Linked DNA regions of Coturnix japonica. The protein of the gene in region 1 interacts with the protein of each later gene in a pairwise test. Links are inferred from orthologs where the notes say so. Each region holds a gene or a part of one and is shown in the gene's direction. Other genes may lie near its edges.

Region 1 (4,182 bases):
CTACATTATTTGTTAGATGCTTCTGTGTTCAGACTTGTGCACAATGCACTAAATAACAAACAACAACAAAAAAACACAACAACAACAAATGCAGTTCCTACATCAGGAGGCTGAGTCCAGGAGTCTGTTATTGACTCCTGGACTCCTGGGCAACAGTTTAAAGCAGGAGCTACATTCTGGCAATTTCTATCATGAAAACCATTGTGAATATGTTGGTTTTGCATTTGCAAGATGTTTGCTAAAGGGTCTTAGAGCACATTTCCAGCCTTGGCATAGAGCACCAGGATAAGAATGCTAGTGATAATGAAAGCAGTGTGTTTTGTTTATATGTAATATGACCTTTCCATCAGGATGAATGCTTCCCAGATTATATCAAACAGCAGAAAACTAGGAATTAACTCCTTCGAGTAAGGCCAGTAGTATACACTGTGCTGGTTATTTTGCAAGAGATCTTTTCAGTTTCCTTAAATCAACACTTTTCAATAAGCAGGTGTGACAACTTCTCACATTTAAGGTCCATTAAATAGAAGATGGACTTCTGGTATTTTGCTTATGATGAAATAAGTGCTTCAGAACATTTTAGTGAGGAAAAGGGTTTGGGGCAGTTAGGCAAATAAACATAATTGATAGCAAAATTGTCACTGAAAGCAAATTTCAAGCAAGGAACATCCTGCTTAACATACTGTTGGAATTGAAAATTGAAGGAACGTGGAACAAAGAGAGTGATAGGAACTGAATGGAAACAGGAATGGCCTGAAAGAAAGTAAAGAGCTGAAATAAGTAAAATAAAAGATGAAGACTAAATCAAGGGCAATTACCTTAGCAAAGAAAATTACTTGCAGGCTGCAAACTTGTGGACAATTCTCTGGGCTTTTTGACTGGTTTTGGCAAGCCATGTCAGGAGTTTCATGGTGTCACTCAAATACTAGGGATGTACCACACCGGCATCAGAGACATCAAATTTAAAACTACTCTGTGAACTCCCTGACTACAAATCACAACAGGATGGCTGCTGAGAAGTTAACATGTAAGGGAAAGAAAGTTTCTGTGGTGATAAGAAATATGCCATTGCTGCTGACCCCTGCAATCCCTGTGACTTTGCAAACAGACACAGCACCAACTATCAGTGTCTCATACAGTAGACAACGTGGAGTAAAATCTATTCCATAAAGCAGAGGGATCTGGTTGTTTTACAGCTGCGAGAGCACAGCTTGAACTCTAGAATTTACCTGTCCCTGCCTGGACAAATATTTCTCTCCTATAAGTTATTTTCAGTACCAGTGATTTCATGTAGAATATTATAAAAACAATTAGATTTTATTAAGGAACACTATTCCCTGTCAGATAAGTATAATTTGTATGTAATTTATCATTACTTACAGGAAGAACTTCCTCATTTCTGTTTATTACAAAACAGATATGTTTGTTCACATATTGGCAGTGGATGATGCACTTTTCTCATGCAGTCTTTAAACATGAGTTTGCTCAGGAGCACTAGCCAATCCATTTTTCTTTCTTTACTGCTGCAAACATATGCCCAGTTTCATACAGAGCTGTTAATGCTGCACGATAGCCATTCACTTGCTTTGGAGGAGCTAGTAGAGATAGGAGTGTTTGTATGAGCCTGAGGAAGTTATTAAATCCAATAACTTTCATTTACCAAAAGAGTTCTTAAATCAGAATCAGCTTCAGGTAAATGGGTGGCCAGCAGGGTGAGGGAGGTGATTGTGCCTCCCTGCTCTGCCTTTGTGAAGGCCTATCCAGAGTAGGAAGTCCAGGCCTGGGGCCCCCAGTATGGGAAGGATACAGTGCTGTTGGGGTGGGTCCAGAAGAGGCCTATGAAGATCAGAGAGCTGGAGCACCTCTCCTATGAAAATAGCTTGAGGATGCTGGGTTTGCTCAGCTCAGAGAAGAGAAAGTTCCAGTGAGATATCGTCACTGCCTTCCAGTAACTGAAGGGATGCCTGAATGAAAGTCACAGGGATGTTACCCTTAGTGGTCTCAGGGTTGGGGCAGTCCAGAGGCAGTGCAAAGGGAGAAGCTGTAGATGCCTCATCCCTGGAGGTATTCACGGCCAGGTTGGATGGGCAGCATGATCAAGTTGGAGGCAGCCCTGCTCATAACAGCAGATTGGAACTGTATGGGCTCTAAGGTCCCTTCCAACCCAAACTGTTCTGTGATTCTACGATGAAGCAGCTCTTGACCCACAGATGCAACAGGAAGTGACTACAAATTACTGTTGCCCAGGGGTGGAAACGACCTGGTTCATGTCTTGATGGCTAGAATTTGTGCCATGGAAGATATTCTGAAGTAACAGTGAAGGAGAATCCTGTTCTTACACAAGGGATACCACATTTAGCTCTCTGTTACCAGGAAGACAGTGGCATATAGGATTTTGCTTACTAGAGATTCGGTGTAAGTTTGTAGCTGGAAAGTTTTGTCACACTGTAGAAATACTGATCCTCGTGGGTCAGGCTCTGAAGTACTTAGAGAAGTCAGAGAACGGGATAAGATTTTACTGTAGCCTCAGAACAGAAGCTGAACTGTCTCTGTGAGTTATGCTGAGAGCTGACAGAAGTCATATACAGACACGGTGATACGAATTAAGCTGTGTATAGCATCACGACTGAAGTAAGGAGAGAACTCCGAGGTGCTCCTCCGCACGCAGCCGGCAGTTAATCATTAAGCCCCTGCAGACCCGTTCTTTCGTGCCCCCAGCCCCGACTCCCCCGGGAGTTGCCGTCAGGAGGGAGGGGCGCCCTGAACCCGCCGCCTCCCGGGTCACACCTGTTTCTCTCTTCGCCTTTCCTCTCCTCTCGTTCGACTATCCCCGCCACCGCAGCCTCGCACAAGCGGCCCGCACTGCCCTACGCCCGCCCCGTCCCGTTCGGCAGCCCATGGGCGCGGCGGCGAGGCGAGGCAGGTGCCGCTGAGCAGCATGGCCAAGGGGCCCGAGCAAGAGGACGCCTTCCTGCACCTCCCGGCCACGCAGGCGATGTCCGCCACCGCCGGGCCGGAGGAGTGCTACGTGGAGCTGCTGGCGGGCGGCTTGCTGCCCTACGCCGAGGAAGGGCTGGGAGCCGGGAGGGGGCTGACGGAGTTGCCCGCTGCCGTCAAGTCGGGTGAGGACCGCGGGGAGAGCCGCTGGGGAGGGCCCGGCCGTGGGGCAGCGCCGGTTTAACGGGATGCTCGGGGGGACGGTGTGCTGCCGACCTAATGCCGTCCCCGGGCTGCTTCTCTCTTCGCTCCTTCTCGCGCAGAAGTGCCTTTTAACGGCGAGACTCTCTCCTCGGAAGAAGAGGATGCGAATACTCGCGACGGCAAACTGAGAGCTGCGGACAAGAGCCCGTCCCCGAAGAAGAGCATCACGCAGATGATGAAGGACAAGAAGAAGCAGACGCAGCTCACCCTGCAGTGGTAGGGCCGGCTGGACGGGGGGGGTCTCCCAGAGGGCCGCTCCTCCGCCTCGGGGCTGTGCCAGCAACAGGAGCGGCATCGCACCGCTCGTTGGCAGTGGCTGCGTTCGTTGGGTTCCTTGAGCTTATTCCAACTTTTGATAACCCTTGTCTCCCTCAAATTCCTGATGCTTTGAATTAGCGGAGGTTTGCCTGTTAGCAGAAACCTCTATCTGGTTCCTTTGGCACACGGCTGTGAGAGGTGATGGAAGATCAGATTTATTCGGGACAGAAAGCACTGTGGATCAGCTTATTGTACCTGGACGTGTGATCCAGGCATCCAATATGGAAAGAAACTGCGCTTATTTAGCTGGTCATCCTGGCTTAGTAGGAATACTGTACTAATATGTATATAGTCGTTTCTCTGTTATTTTGTTTCAGTAAAATAACATTGTAATGTCTTCTTTGCAGAAACATTAAACCCAAATGTCTTTAAAAAGTTTAGAAACGAGAAATTACCTAAGAATTACATTAGCTTTTATTACTCTAAATGGGAACAACAGTTACATTTTCATTGTTTCTCGCTGTACTTTTTGCATTAAATTCTACCACTCACAGACGCCCTAACTCTGTTTTAGTTTGGTAAAAACTAAACCAAAGTGGAGCTCAAATTCTGTAGGCTTTATCTGCTACAGGTCTTTCTTAAAGTACTCTGGAAGTTAGTGAGCAGTACTGTTGAATTAAATGGGAGCATAGTTACCAGACACAGGCTGTAAATCTAGAGTTT
Region 2 (3,619 bases), on another chromosome or scaffold:
GAAACCTCGTTTACTTGGCAACAATAGCAGATTCTAACCAGAATATGCAGTCCTTGCTTCCTGCTGTAAGTACCGATGCTACCACCATGTATATTTACTGTGCCAGAGGGAAACGTGCTTTGATGCAGACACTGATCAGTGTCAGTAAACCTTTTTTTTTGGCTGGTGGTTGTGCAGACCAGCAACCACATGAAAAGCTACTTTTCCTGTGTTTCAAATGCGTTCTTTGGGATATTTGTGTTAATATCTGTCTCTGTGGCCTAATTTCTAAATACTGGAAATGCTGCAGTGTTACATATCTGAGCAGGATCCATTTGGTCCAGATTCATTCTTCTTTGCCTGTTCTTACTGTAAAAGTCACTCTTTTGTATCAGAATTTTCCTTCAGTATTTGGGCATTGGCTTGCTTTTAAAAACCGAGTTATTGCTGAACGGGTTGATTTTAGAAGTATCCAACATAACACGAAATGCACAATAGCTTTATGCTTGGCAAAGGCCAATTTGTCACCACTCTGCTGTATGGTGTTTGCAAAGGCATTTCCCCACAGCAGTTACTTTCAGTCTGGTCCAAATGAAATTCATCTAAGTACAGCAGAACGGGCACAGAAGCCGATCTCTGTTAGAAGCACAGCTTGGAGACCTCTGCTGTGCTGCCTGCTGGCTTCCCCGTGTCACGCTGAGTGTCATTCACACACGCTAGTCAAATGGGAGCAGGTTTGCTCAGAAAGCGAGGGAAGCACACGCACTTGAGGCAGTTTTTAGTCACGCTTGGGCTAATTTGAGGGTGATTATTTTTCTAAATAAAACCTAACACAAAATTTGCTTCTCCTCCTTGTTGTTTGCAGCCACCAACGCAAAACATAAACTTGGGCCCGGGAGGAATGACTCAGAGCGCATCCAACCAATCTCTTCATTCACAGAGCAATCTCAGTGATGCAATCGGGACGGGCCTTCCTCCTTCCTCCCTCATGCAGAGTCAGATTAGCAATGGTGAGCCTTGGTCCCCTTTGTGCTGCTTTGCTGTTGCTTGGCAACAAAATCATTAATGCAGAAAATACTTACGGAGCTGTAAAAGATCTCACTCACCTTTCAGGCAGATGGGGATTTCTGGGACGTGCTGGAATCATCACAAAATGGCTCCAGTCTGTAACGCTGTTGGGTTCTGCCAGGCCTCCAGCCTGCTTAGTAATTCGATGGGAGAAATTAAAAACAGTTATAAAATGTCTAATGAGAATCACCAAGTAAAGACGCCTCCAAGTCTCTAGTTACAAAATGATCTATTGCAGCACTTTGCTCTTGAAGATGGTGGGGCTGGCTGGGGTAAAATGGGATCGGTTGCATGACTAACTGTACAACCAAGCCTTTAGATTGCAGAGCTCTTCTAGGCTAGATGGCTTTTTGGAAGACAAAATGGTGTTACATCAGCCTTTGTCTTCTACAGAAGCTTTCAGGGATTGTACTACGCAGCCAAAGAGTTTGCACAGACATTTTATATGGCTAAGATAAATACACACACATTTATCTATTGGTTTCTTTGGTTCTCGCAACTAAAAAGAAGCTGTGATTTTTGTTGTTGTTGTTGTTGACGTTGTATTAATAGTCCATAGTATGAATCATCCATTTACTTATTTTGTACTTCAAGGTTACTTTGTCAGCTCTTGTTTATGTGGGTCTGTCCCAAAGTGAGAGAGACAAAAACAATGTCTATAAATAGAAGGAAGTGACTGTAAAATCACAGACCTTGGCAGGGGAGCCCAGGAGCAGATGCAAGCAATGAAATTACTTCTGAGTTTTTAGAGATCTATTTGTGGCCAAGCTGGTGGGACCTCTGGAACAAATGGAGGAGGTGCCTCCTTTGATACACTTCCAGCTGTAGAGAGGAATTCATCTGTGCCACCTTTCAGAAAGATTTATTAAGTAGTATTACAGTACATCAGTCCCTAACCCAGTGCTAAGTGGACAGCTTACTCTTTGTCCAGATGTTTTGACCAAGGCTCTGCACCTGCATAGTACCAGCTTGTTATGAAAGTACTGGTCCACTGGAGGCTGGTCTGAAGGCAGAGCTGCTCTCCAAAAGGAAGGTGTGACTGTGAATGCACTAGCCTGCCTCTCTTGGCGTGCTGTGAGTAGCCCAGGGAACAGCAGCAGTGATGGCACCTTAAGCTATACGACATCCAACCCTCAGCAGGTACAGCATTGTTAAAGGGGGAAGGGCAGGGAAAGACCTAAGACTAGTACATGTTATCCCTTATTGTCCTCACACTGGCCTTTAGAGGAATCACCTGTGCAGCAGTCACTAGGTGATACCTTAAATGCATGATAATTACCAGCAGTGGCCATTAGGTCAATAACTAATGATAACTAATGGTAATTCTGCCTGTGGGGACAGGTTAAAACCGACTGACGTACTTGTTTCAAGTAACCCAACAGCCAGTCGGTAATTCTTCATGCCACAGCCCTGCAGGCAGAGCCTGTACATTCAGACATAGGTAGGGAAGCTCAGCTCCAAACCAACTGGGGAATCCTCGCTGTTCAGAAGTCATGAATGAGGCCTTTCAAGGACAAAACTCAGCTCCCTTAGATCCACAGGAGTATGAAAGAGGTTCAGTGCTTTGTATTTGCCTTATTGTTCCAGTATTTTTATTTAAACACTTTTGGTCACGCTTTTGTATTTTCCTTTACAATCATGAATTGGCCAAAGTTTTTTGTTGATGTTGGTTTCTTTGGGGGAGTACTTTAAAGAAAGCCCGGATTCTCACATTTTCCCATGCTAATAGGGCAAGATTTACCAACAGATGCTTTACTGCGAGCCCGGGCTCTTTCACTCAGTGCCTGCAGATGCCATTCAAACAGCACATGGTTTTGTGCTGCACGAAAACAAGCATCAGCTTTAGAAGATACAGAGAACTCAGGGAGCACAGAGCTCTGTCGCAGCGTGTCCCTCTGGTTCTGCAGATTTCAGTAGGAATAGCTCAGTTTCTTTGCTATTAGAAATGCTGCTTCTCTCCATGAGAGGAAAATATAATAACCAACAGCAAATTCTCTGTTTCTGATGACTATAAATATCATTAGGAGCAGTTAATGAGGTTTGCAGTAAGAGAATTAAACATTTTTTTCAGAGGCTGTAGATAGGCTTAATAACCAAATTGAAATATCACCATTGGAATATAATTCTGTCTCTTCTAGGGATCCTGCTTGTCTTCCATTCTATCTAAATTAATTTGGTAGGCAACAACACACAGCTGAACTTAGATAGCCAGCTTCCCAAAACTCACCCGTAAAAGTACTTAAAACAACTAACAACAAACATCAGGAGCAAATTTTACCTAATTTTTGTTATCCAACAACAAGAGAATTTAAGAAAGGAAAAAGGAAGCAGCGCAGTGCAGGGGAAGCAGAATGGTGCTCACTGGGGTACAACTGGAGCAGCCCAGTGGTTATGGACAGTGATACTGGTTACAAGGTGCTGTAACAGCAGTGGTTATGATGGAGACTTGGAAAATATGCCTTCAGAAAGGCTGAGGTGGTTTCAATCAGACTTCCAGAGATGGAAAGATAAGCTTGTCCTCCCGGTCCGATGAGGGGGGCCCTGATGCTTCTTAAGCCTGAGTGAGAAGTGC
Region 3 (4,189 bases), on another chromosome or scaffold:
GAAAACATCCAACATCCAACAGCAGCCGGGGCTGTGCTTCCTTCGGCTTTGTTTTTGTTTGTAGATTTCCCCCCTCCTTTCTCTCTTTCTTTTTTTCTTTTTTTTCTTTTTTTTTCCTCTTTCTTTTTTTCTTCTTTTCTTTTCTTTTCTTTTTTTTTTTTTTCTTTTTTTCCTGTTGTTGTTGTTGTTTCAATCCTCCTGCCCAGGAAACTGGAGCCCTGTCAGCCGGGGTCCCAATTAGAGGTTCGTTAGCCTAAACCTCCAGCGGCAGCCAATGGAGGGAGCGGGGAGGGGACGGGCAGGGCCCGGCGCAGTGTTAACCCTGCAGGGATCGCGCTCCCATCGCATCGCGTTTTCTCGCCACCTCTTATTTTCCGACCATCCCCGCCCCGCTTCGCCCCGGGTCGGCGTTTGGGCGGCTTTTATCATCCGCCGCGATGTATTTTTTCGTCCCTACATCAGAAAGAACCGGAGCTTCATAAAAGAGGGGAGGTGTCATTACGCCCCGGCGTTGAGGTGGGGGAGCTCCGCGGGGCTCTGGCCGGAGGCGGCCGGGATGTCCTACTTTCCTCCCAGAGCTTCGGCAATGGCAGGAGTCGGAGCAGGAGCCGCGTCGGGGCCGCGCTCCGGTTCGTGCCCGCCCTGTTGTGTGTCCCTGATTTCTGAGATTTCCATTTTGCAGCCGCAGTGTTTTATCCTCCCTGTAAAACCCCCCGTGCTGCGGATGGAGCAGTGTGCGGGGTGTGGGGGGGGGTACAGGGGTCGGGGATACTGAGCCCCCCCCCCTCCCTGCTGCCACCCACAGGGAGACACGTGGGGCTGAACAGCGACTGTTCCCAGGGACCCCACAGGGCGCAGCCTCGCTCCGGGGGCGGTCAGAGCCAGAGCTGCGCTGTGTGGGCATGGGGCGGACTTTGACCCCACGGCCCCACAGCCGCCAGCGGAGCGTCAGGGGAGGGGGCGGGGGGCAAAGTCCGCACGGGGACAGCGCTGCGGGGGGGGGGGGTCCTGCAGCTGGAGTCAGTCACTGTGTTGGAGTCAGTCACTGCGCTGAGGGCACCGCAGGGACCCCCCGAGCTCCGGCTGCGTGTGGGGGGGCACCGACCCCTTCTACACAGCCCCGTGCCGCCCCGATCCCCCCTGCAATCCCACCCACCCCCCGCTCCTTTATAACTCCCGGCTCTCCGACCCCTTTCTGTCGCACTGACCCCTCCGATAGACCCCCCGCCCCATAACTCCCCACCTATCCCCATATCCCCCATTACCCCCGTCTCTCTTCGCCCCGCCCCTTACACTGACCCCTCCCCCTCCTTTAGCCCCTCCCCCCATCCCTGCTCTCGGTGGTGGCGCCCCCTTCTGGCCGCTCCGCCGCCTGCCCGGGGTCCTCCCAGCGCGACGCTCTAGGCGGCGGCCGGCGGACTCACTCGCTGCTCCCGGCGGCCCCGGGCCGGGCCGTGGGACGCGGCGCTGGCGGGTCCCGGTCCCCGACCCGGAGCTCGCAGCCCTTGGGCCGGGCCGGGTCCTGGTCCCGGTCCGGTTCGTAGCTTTGGGCCCGGCCTCAGCTCCCGGACGGCGGAGCCGGGCAGCGCCTCAGGTACCGACCCACGGCCGGGCCTCGTCCCGCAGCGCCGCTCCCACCCGCTCCATTAACCCCTTTGTGTCCCCCCCTCATTCCTCCCCCGTTGCCCCGTTGCCCCTTTGCCCCCCCCCCCGTTTCCCGTTGCGCTCCATCCTCCCCCGGTCCCATTTCCCCCGCCCCATTGCCGGGTTCTGGTTCTGGTCGTTGTGTTCGTCTGGAGCCCGATGGGGGTTGGGGGGGGGGGGCTGGGTGAAGGGCTGAGCTGTTGCCCCCCGCCATGGCCGCCCCTCAAGGCTGGGGTCTCACTGTGCTCCTCCTCCTGGCTGCAGTGAGTTCAGGGCAGGTGATGGGGCTCCATCCCTGAGCTGGAGGGAGAGGGGAGCAAAGAAGAGAGGGCAAAGATAACGTGTTTTCTGTGGGATTCTTGTTTCCGTGAGAGCACTGATGGGATGGCAGCCCCCACGACAAGGAGCCCAGGGACCAGCCCCAGGATTCGGCTGCAGATCAGCAATCGGTGCTGAAGGTCAGTGAGGGATAAAGCCGTGCAGTGATGGAGATGTGCTGGGTGATGGCAGCTCCAGCCTGCCCCGCTCCAAGCCTCCCTCCACTGGAGGACTGTGCATTAGGGGTGTGGATGCAGCAGGGAGGTGTTGAAGGGCTGGAGCTGAGGCCGGGTGACGTGGAGCTGCAGGGAAGGTCGGTAGGTTGTGGTTTGATTTGAGAACCAAACAGGGGAGTCTCTGCAGCAGCACAGGGATGTGGCCCCAGGAGTCATCGCTGTGTTGGAGGGTCTGGTGCTGAACCCAGTGCTGCGCAGTGGGTGTGGATCTGTTAGGGCTGCTTCAGAGTTGCCCTATTTCCTCACTACTGGGTATAACTCCTGTGTGCTCCGTGCTCGCACTCACTGCCTGTGAGCAGACAGCTGAATTGTGTTATTTGGCATTTCTTAGTTTTCAGAGTCTGAAACGGGCTGGTAGTTGTGTTCAGTTGCTGACAGGGCTGTTGTTCTGTGTCTCATAAGGACCTTCCATCCAATGAAGGCACCTTCCCATACCCGAGCAGCAGATGTCACGTGCCCTGAGTCCTCGCTGCTCTCTGCTCTTCCTGGGTACAATCCCAAAGCTGAGAGGTCAAATATCTCTTAGTTTTAGGTTTTCTAGATGTGTTTCTTTCCTTCCCCACATGTTTATTCTTCTCTCTTTTCTTATCTCTTGAACTGTAACTTTCTTGCCAGGTGGAAGATGGGGCCATTTCCCTCGTGTTCTGGGTGACTGACACCTGGGTACCATGAAGTCCTGAAGGAGATAAAGGGACGGCAGTAGTGGGATTTTCTCACCTTCAGAAAACCCAAGCAACCACTTGCCTAATGGTAAGAAAGCTGTTATTCTTAATTAGGTTTATACTGCACAGGGTCCATTCATTGGGGAACATGTCATGAAGTTCTCAAAGCAAAAAGCATCTGAGTTCCAAACAGGCTGAGCCACACGCAGGGACACCCAGGAGGGAATGGGCTGTAATTTGATTGCTCTCTCCTGTGTCCTTTCCCCAGGGATTACCTCTCCTGCTGCCGTCATGGGGAGCTGCTGCAGTTGTCTGTGTGGAGACAGCATCCCAGACAACCACCCCACCAAATTTAAGGTAAGTGTTGGGCCTTCATCCCCATTAGAGAATTTATAGCAGCTCTGACTGCTTGCAAAGCTCAGCGTGGGTTGGGCTCTGGGCATGGAAGCAAAGAAAAACTGCTCTTACAGACAAGTCTTTCACTTGATAAGATTTGCAAACATGTTGCTGTTTTTTTTTCTTTTTTCCCTTTAATTAAGTACCCTCTGCTGCAGATATGTTTCATATTTGCAGTAGAAATTTCCTCTACGCTGAGATTCAGCCTGAGCAAGGAAATGGAGAACTGGAGAGAAACCTTTTATTGCTCAGGGCTGTGATCCAGTGTCTGTGCTGAGACTCATCAGCTGAACTGCTGAGCACCAAGTCTCCAGCCCTGTCAGCTCTGTGCTTTCTGCCAGCAGTGAATCTGTGCTCTCAGCTGAAAAAAGGGCATCTGAGGAAATGAAGGGGGAATTACAGCATCTTAGTGGCAGGGCCTTTTTTTCCCCCCCCTTTCCTAAACACACCAAGCTTCCTGATGTGAGCTGCGTGGTTTCTGCAGGTAACGAACGTGGACGATGAAGGTAATGAGCTGGGATCTGGGGTTATGGAGCTGACGCAGACGGAGCTCATCTTGCACACTCACAAGAGAGATGCAGTCAGGTGGCCCTACCTCTGCCTGCGCCGCTATGGCTACGACTCCAACCTCTTCTCCTTCGAGAGCGGCCGTCGCTGCCACACGGGGCAGGGTGAGTGCTGGCTGCTTCATGAAGCAGGAGCTACGGGGTTTCTGCTTGTGGCTTCCCACAATCCTGCATCTGAGGAACCAGCAGGTGTTCCTGCAGCCTCTGATCCCCCCGAACACCCCATGTGCATGCACGTGCAGTTGATACTCAATTAAAATACTAATGGGAGTGCTCCTGTGGCTCAGAACCTGGGTGTAAGTCTGGCAGTCTCATCTTGCATGGGCACTTAGGAGGTAACTGGCGAACCAGGCTTCAGCTGAAGTTT

What was found.
Region 2: the proteins of RFX6 (region 1) and SS18L1 interact in binary tests that used the Homo sapiens proteins (3 or more experiments, as listed by UniProt). The two-hybrid records come from large-scale screens. The link is inferred for Coturnix japonica from reciprocal best matches to the Homo sapiens genes RFX6 and SS18L1.
Region 3: the proteins of RFX6 (region 1) and FRS3 interact in binary tests that used the Homo sapiens proteins (3 or more experiments, as listed by UniProt). The two-hybrid records come from large-scale screens. The link is inferred for Coturnix japonica from reciprocal best matches to the Homo sapiens genes RFX6 and FRS3.

The regions. Positions count from the first base shown.
Region 1 is NC_029518.1:57,929,814-57,933,995, reverse strand, and holds the start of RFX6 (DNA-binding protein RFX6), read left to right. Parts: upstream 1-1,346; 5' UTR 1,347-2,938; coding exon 2,939-3,122; intron 3,123-3,260; coding exon 3,261-3,417; intron 3,418-4,182. UniProt on the Homo sapiens protein: Transcription factor required to direct islet cell differentiation during endocrine pancreas development. Specifically required for the differentiation of 4 of the 5 islet cell types and for the production of insulin.
Region 2 is NC_029535.1:6,919,248-6,922,866, forward strand, and holds part of SS18L1 (calcium-responsive transactivator), read left to right. Parts: coding exon 1-65; intron 66-844; coding exon 845-989; intron 990-3,619. UniProt on the Homo sapiens protein: Transcriptional activator which is required for calcium-dependent dendritic growth and branching in cortical neurons. Recruits CREB-binding protein (CREBBP) to nuclear bodies.
Region 3 is NC_029541.1:4,688,184-4,692,372, reverse strand, and holds the start of FRS3 (fibroblast growth factor receptor substrate 3), read left to right. Parts: upstream 1-1,367; 5' UTR 1,368-1,594; intron 1,595-1,908; exon of another isoform or gene 1,909-2,102; intron 2,103-2,685; exon of another isoform or gene 2,686-2,708; intron 2,709-2,813; 5' UTR 2,814-2,948; intron 2,949-3,128; 5' UTR 3,129-3,151; coding exon 3,152-3,217; intron 3,218-3,740; coding exon 3,741-3,927; intron 3,928-4,189. UniProt on the Homo sapiens protein: Adapter protein that links FGF and NGF receptors to downstream signaling pathways. Involved in the activation of MAP kinases. Down-regulates ERK2 signaling by interfering with the phosphorylation and nuclear translocation of ERK2.